Linked DNA regions of Schizosaccharomyces pombe. The gene in region 1 interacts genetically with each later gene. Each region holds a gene or a part of one and is shown on either strand. Other genes may lie near its edges.

The links. A genetic interaction does not mean that the proteins touch.
Region 2: mutations in vps1 (region 1) and top1 together harm fitness less than expected from each alone (positive genetic interaction), as found in Schizosaccharomyces pombe (one large-scale study listed by BioGRID).

Annotation. Positions count from the first base shown.
Region 1 is NC_003424.3:1,997,773-2,001,530, reverse strand, and holds the start of vps1 (dynamin family protein Vps1), read left to right. Parts: upstream 1-2,115; 5' UTR 2,116-2,188; coding exon 2,189-2,281; exon of another isoform or gene 2,282-2,332; coding exon 2,333-3,758. Other genes in the region: poly(A) polymerase Cid16, read right to left, coding at 1-546.
Region 2 is NC_003423.3:2,942,360-2,946,117, reverse strand, and holds the start of top1 (DNA topoisomerase I), read left to right. Parts: upstream 1-1,521; 5' UTR 1,522-1,537; coding exon 1,538-1,550; exon of another isoform or gene 1,551-1,603; coding exon 1,604-1,704; exon of another isoform or gene 1,705-1,750; coding exon 1,751-3,758. Other genes in the region: HOPS/CORVET complex subunit, vacuolar sorting protein Vps33, read left to right, coding at 1-131, 183-952. UniProt on the Schizosaccharomyces pombe protein: Releases the supercoiling and torsional tension of DNA introduced during the DNA replication and transcription by transiently cleaving and rejoining one strand of the DNA duplex.

The sequences.
Region 1 (3,758 bases):
GATGGCACAATTAGAAAGTACTACTTTAAAATTATCACTTTCGCTATCATGAAAAAATGATCGATTTTCTAAGTGGTTTTTATGTCCTTTGAATGTGAGGAAGCTAACATCGTCATCCAGTGAACAAGGGACATCAGTTGGAAAAAGAATCGACGGGTCTTTGGACCTTTTGCAGCATGATAACAGTGCACGTTCTATTTCTTCCCACTCTGCAGCGCTTTTTTGAGATTTTCTAGCTAATAAATAATTAATCAATTTTGGAAGTAAGATTGGTACCGGCAAATTATTTAATGATGTATCAACTAGTCTGATCTTCTTGTTATGGTAATGAAAAGCATGGCACAATTGGTTGGAGCTCAGAAGTGCTTTCAATCCCCCAGCTAGAGAAACAGCCAACTTATTAGGGGTAGAAATTTTCCTCAAATTGTCAGTTTCATCTTGGAATATTAGTAGATTAGCCTCTTTAATTGAAATTTCTTTGCTCTTGGCCTTTGCGTAAGCAAACAAAATTTGTACAGGTTTTAACAATAATTTGGCAAATAGCATTTCACGAGTGATATTTTTAAATAAAAAAGTAAAAATTCTTTTTAGGCTTTGCTTTTAATTAAGGATCACAGAATAAATAAAGGGTATGCCGCTTTTAAACGATTGAAACATTAATTAACGAAACCTTTGAAAGAATAAATAATTTGTCGAATTTTCTTCAACGAGCACATTAAGACAGTTTTGTTTTATTGACTTAAAAAAGACATGTATACTAAATTTATGTTGAAGACATTGAGTAAGTAGTGCATTGGTATGGTTATGGAGTAAGTGATCCTAGGAGGAGTACCAATCTTCCAGTCTCTTATTAAACGCTCGCTAGAGCATGAAGCAACCTATGCGTCGTAGCATTTGCTTAAAAATTTGGGTTTTACATGTATGCCGTTCATGTATAAACCTAACAGTATGCCGAATACAGAGAAGTTGGATTTTATAGTTAACCCAAATTTGCATCCTGTTTAGTAACAAATTTGTAAAAATTGTAATTTTATTGACAAAAAATTATTTACAAGATATCAAAGATATTGATTTGGCATTTGTATACGATAGAGGTGTCAAGAAACGAAGCAAAATGTGTAAGATTTTGACAAACTACTCCACGAGTTATACAACCATTTATTTTGATAACTAACTTTTGGAATGCTAGTATTATTTAGTTTTGGAGTCAAGAACCAAGACTTCATATGTTTCTCTATTTGTAAGTTTGCATATGGTATATTAATATGCTTTGATAAAAATTAGAGATATTATCCACTATGAAATTCGCTTCCATTTATTGCTAAAAAGGTCCCAATTGTTATTGGTTTTTTTCCAACAAAAAGCATAAATTGTTTGACGCTAAGGTGATTGCTAAAATTTGTCCAATGGCATGTGCAAATTGAACACACTTGTCGACTTCTAATCAGCAGCAAAACAGAGAATAATTAGCAAAAATTGCTGTTTCTATAAAGTCCATTCCCTTTTCCTACTGAACTAAAACTCGTTTTTGAATAAACTAGCGTATTGAGCACTGTCAGCTACGCGTAATGTAACCAATTTTTAAAACTGTGGTGGTAGTTTTATTTGAAATATACAATATTACGGTACGCAGCAAAACGCGTACTATATTATAAAGATTCTCGTAAATAGGTACTATTTTTACTTATCAGCAGAATAGCTTATAATTGTACTGAAAAACAAGGTTAAAGCAGTTTCCGTTAATTTTTTCAGTACTCAAGTATCAATGGGTAACTTTGTATTAAGATAAATAGCATTTCGCAATTATCATTAAAAGGATCTTTCCTGTTATTCCAACACAGGGCATATAGTGATACGCAACGTAGTAAAACGCAATATTAGTATATTATCGTTCGTTAAATATGGAATGATGCATCGCTTTAATATTACTTATCGAGGGTTAAACATTAGATTTATTGTCTAAAGTCTGACAACAACGTTTCAAGGGCATCACTGTTTCTTTTTTGGTAAATCAATTAGCAACACGATATTGTTAAGCCACCTTCAAGCAGCCTTACTGAAATCCGATTAGCGAGGTACTAATTTTATTCGACATATCCGAGTAAACACTACACTACCACAGCACATACCATCAGGTTTGTAACCGCCCATTCGTAAAATTGTCTATTTAGTGGATCCATAGTTGATAATGGATCCCTCATTGATTAAAGTTGTCAATCAACTTCAGGAGGCTTTCTCCACAGTTGGCGTTCAAAACTTGATTGACTTACCACAGATTACTGTATGTTGTGAATTTTAACTTAGATTGAAAAATTCACTAATAAATTGTTAGGTCGTACGGTCACAGTCAAGCGGTAAATCATCGGTTTTAGAAAATATTGTTGGGAGAGATTTCCTTCCTAGAGGAACCGGCATTGTAACAAGGCGTCCTTTGGTTCTGCAGTTAATTAATAGACCTAGCGCTAGTGGAAAAAATGAAGAAACAACTACTGATTCAGATGGAAAGGACCAGAATAATTCATCTGAATGGGGAGAATTCCTCCATCTTCCCGGACAAAAGTTCTTTGAGTTTGAAAAGATTCGTGAAGAAATCGTTAGAGAAACAGAAGAAAAAACAGGAAAGAATGTTGGCATTTCTTCGGTTCCTATCTATCTTCGTATTTACTCTCCTCATGTGCTTACTCTGACACTAGTAGATTTACCTGGTCTTACAAAGGTACCGGTTGGTGACCAACCTCGAGATATTGAAAAGCAAATTCGTGAAATGGTTTTGAAGTATATATCTAAAAACAATGCCATTATATTGGCTGTAAACGCTGCCAATACTGATTTGGCAAACTCAGATGGTCTCAAACTTGCTAGAGAAGTTGACCCCGAAGGTCTTCGCACTATCGGTGTATTGACCAAGGTTGATTTAATGGATAAAGGTACGGATGTGGTAGATATTCTAGCTGGACGTGTTATTCCATTGAGACTTGGGTATGTTCCAGTCATAAATCGCGGTCAAAAGGACATCGAAGGGAAGAAGTCTATTCGTATAGCTCTTGAGGCAGAAAGGAACTTTTTTGAAACGCATCCTTCCTATGGTTCTAAAGCGCAATACTGCGGTACTCCATTTCTAGCTCGTAAACTAAATATGATATTGATGCACCATATTCGGAACACCCTTCCCGAAATTAAAGTTCGTATTAACGCTGCTTTAGCCAAATATCAGGCCGAACTACATTCTTTGGGGGACACTCCTGTTGGCGACAACTCCAGTATTGTACTAAATTTAATTACTGACTTTTGCAACGAATATCGCACAGTTGTGGACGGCCGTAGTGAAGAGCTTTCTGCTACGGAGCTTTCAGGAGGAGCTCGTATTGCGTTCGTATTTCATGAAATTTTTTCGAATGGTATTCAAGCAATTGATCCATTTGATGAAGTTAAGGATTCGGATATTCGCACCATTTTGTACAATTCATCTGGCCCTTCTCCTAGTTTATTTATGGGTACTGCTGCATTTGAAGTTATTGTCAAGCAACAAATTAAGCGTTTGGAGGATCCTTCCTTGAAGTGTGTTTCCCTCATTTACGACGAACTTGTCCGTATTTTAAATCAATTGCTTCAACGTCCCATATTTAAACGTTATCCTCTTTTGAAAGATGAATTTTACAAGGTTGTTATTGGTTTCTTTAGAAAATGTATGCAACCCACTAATACCCTTGTAATGGATATGGTTGCCATGGAAGGTTCTTATATAAACACTGTTCATC
Region 2 (3,758 bases), on another chromosome or scaffold:
TTTAAGCAAAATTGCTCGAAAACTATCCAGCGATTTTGAAGGTCGACGTCAAGCCAAAACTGTAAATCAGATTAGAGACTTCGTTTCCAAACTGGGTTCCTTACAATCGGAGCATACATCATTAAATATTCGTAAGTATTTTTTTCTTTTGATTTCCATAAAAAATTTTATTAATTAGATAGACACTGGTCTCGCTGAAACTTTGGTGCAACACACAAAAAATAATTACTTTCAAAAGCTACTACAACTTCAGCATTTGCTAGTTTCTCATGCCGATTCTTTTACTCAATTCAATTTATTAGATGAAATTATCTATGCCGAAGCACCTGTTGAAGAGGTTTTTCGAGTACTTTGCCTTGCAAGTATAACTACCAATGGTTTGAGAAGAAAAGATATAGATCATTACCGTAGGGAAATCACTCAAACATATGGTTATTATCACCTTTTAACATTCCAAGCCTTGATAGATGCAGGACTATTGCGCCTCCGGCAATCCACTAATATTTCACTTCAAAAATCATTGTCTTATTCTACATGGTTAAACACTTATCCTTTGGTTAAGGACGAAGTTGATGAGCAGAATCCTGAAGATATAGCCTATACGTACAGCGGGTACGGTCCTTTGTCAGTCCACATAGCATATGACATTTTAAAAGGCAGAGACAATGAAGAAAAAATTCTTAAGTTGCAAAATATGCCTGGAACTTACGTTGACAAGTGGACATTAGACCAGGAAAAGGTCATGCCTAAAAATTTGAAGACAAACGTACCAGGTAAACGTCGTGTTTTAGTTTTTTTCATCGGTGGTTGCACGTACACAGAGCTGGCTGCATTTCGTTTATTGCAAGAAAAAGAAGATTTATATGAATTCACATTTATGACTACGGGAATGGTAACTGGAAGCTCTCTAATAAGAGCTTTTATTCCAAATATTGAATCTTTGAATGAGTGATGATCACCCAGTTTCATTAATTTGTTCAACAGCTAAAGACGATATTTAATCTCATTTTTTTTCACTAAGAGAATCCCATAATTTTAATTATTGTTTTTTTTATTAACCCACTTTATTAAGTCCTTAGTAGTTTATGAATTTGAAGTGGCATTAAAGCTTTCCCTATATGCTGTTAAGCTATTTGCTATTTACTGCCAAAATATTAGCTTACATATTAAATAATAAACCTCCAATATTTGGCAGCTAATGGCTTATTGTATCAATCAAATCACCTTTTTTTTGTTTTGGATATTCAGTGGCTTTTGGTATTGTTTACAATAAATGTAAAGTTAAAGCTTTCAAAATTATTAGAGATTACTTTTCTCGTACTGTTAATGGGTTTATTTTGAAATATGCACATTTATAGCTTTTTGCTGCAAGCTTCGTAACATTAAATTTTATTTTATTTGAAAATTCCAGTTTCTCATTTAGCTACTAATTTTTACAAACATTAATTGTCAATATTTGGTTGTCATGACAACGAGTGTACGTACTCAATATTAATCCTTCTTTTACTGTATTATAGATGTATGCAAACAATTCACAATGTCTTCGTCTGGTAAGGTTTCACGTAATTTAACAACATTTGCAAAATTTTTAACAACTGAAAAGATTCAGATTCCGTGTCTTTATCCATTAGAAGGAGGCAAAGACGCGGTTCATCTAAACGGATTAGTATGAAGGAGTCGGACGAAGAGAGTGATAGTTCTGAAGTATGTTCACAACATAATAATTAAAGATTGTTGACTAATTGTTTAGAATCATCCTCTTAGTGAATCGTTGAATAAGAAATCCAAATCCGAGAGTGATGAGGATGATATACCGATTAGAAAGAGACGTGCTTCTTCAAAGAAAAATATGTCCAATTCAAGCTCTAAAAAAAGAGCTAAAGTAATGGGAAATGGTGGTTTAAAAAACGGAAAAAAAACGGCGGTTGTAAAAGAGGAAGAGGATTTCAATGAAATTGCAAAGCCCTCACCGAAGCATAAACGTGTTTCTAAAGCGAATGGAAGTAAAAATGGCGCGAAGTCAGCTGTTAAAAAAGAGGAAAGTGACACAGATGATTCAGTTCCATTGAGAGCTGTTTCGACTGTATCTTTAACTCCTTACAAATCAGAACTGCCTTCGGGAGCTTCGACCACGCAAAATCGCTCACCAAACGATGAGGAAGATGAAGATGAGGATTACAAGTGGTGGACTTCAGAAAATATCGATGATACTCAAAAATGGACTACATTGGAGCATAATGGTGTAATTTTTGCTCCACCCTATGAACCTTTACCAAAGAACGTCAAGCTAATTTACGATGGAAACCCCGTAAATCTTCCTCCCGAAGCAGAAGAAGTTGCTGGTTTTTATGCTGCAATGCTTGAAACCGATCATGCCAAAAATCCTGTATTCCAAGATAATTTTTTCCGTGACTTCTTAAAGGTCTGTGATGAATGTAACTTTAATCACAACATTAAAGAGTTTTCTAAATGTGATTTTACCCAAATGTTTCACCATTTTGAGCAAAAGAGGGAAGAGAAGAAGAGTATGCCGAAGGAACAGAAGAAGGCAATAAAGCAGAAAAAAGATGAGGAAGAGGAAAAATATAAATGGTGCATACTTGATGGGAGAAAGGAGAAGGTTGGTAACTTTCGTATTGAACCTCCAGGGTTATTTCGTGGTCGAGGTAGTCATCCTAAAACTGGTTCTTTAAAGCGTCGAGTATATCCTGAACAAATTACCATTAATATTGGTGAAGGTGTACCCGTTCCAGAACCACTCCCTGGGCATCAATGGGCGGAGGTAAAGCATGATAATACAGTGACCTGGTTGGCAACCTGGCATGAAAATATAAATAATAATGTCAAATATGTCTTTTTAGCTGCAGGAAGTTCTCTAAAAGGACAGAGTGACTTAAAAAAATACGAAAAGTCAAGAAAGCTTAAGGATTATATTGATGATATCCGTAAAGGCTACCGGAAAGATTTGAAAAGTGAGTTAACGGTTGAGCGTCAAAGAGGAACTGCCATGTATTTAATTGATGTTTTTGCTTTAAGAGCAGGAAATGAAAAGGGTGAAGACGAGGCGGATACTGTTGGTTGTTGTTCACTGCGATATGAACATGTTACACTGAAGCCACCACGAACAGTCGTTTTCGATTTTCTTGGTAAAGATTCTATTCGTTACTACAACGAGGTTGAAGTTGATCCCCAAGTTTTTAAAAATCTAAAGATCTTTAAACGTCCTCCCAAAAAAGAGGGTGATTTAATTTTCGACCGTCTCAGTACAAACAGTCTTAACAAATATCTGACTAGCCTTATGGATGGACTTTCAGCTAAAGTATTTCGTACCTACAATGCTTCATACACCATGGCCGAGGAACTTAAGAAAATGCCTAAGAACCTCACCCTTGCAGACAAAATACTATTTTATAATAGGGCAAATAGGACTGTTGCAATTTTATGTAATCATCAACGTTCCGTAACCAAAAATCACGATGTTCAAATGGAACGGTTTGCCGAAAGGATTAAGGCATTACAATACCAGCGGATGAGACTGCGAAAAATGATGCTGAATTTAGAGCCCAAGCTTGCTAAAAGCAAGCCCGAATTGCTGGCTAAAGAAGAAGGCATTACCGATTCATGGATCGTAAAACATCACGAGACACTTTACGAACTAGAAAAAGAGAAAATAAAAAAGAAATTCGATCGTGAGAACGAAAAATTAGCTGCTGAGGATCCCAAATCAGTGCTTCCGGAATCTGAATTGGAAGTTCGAT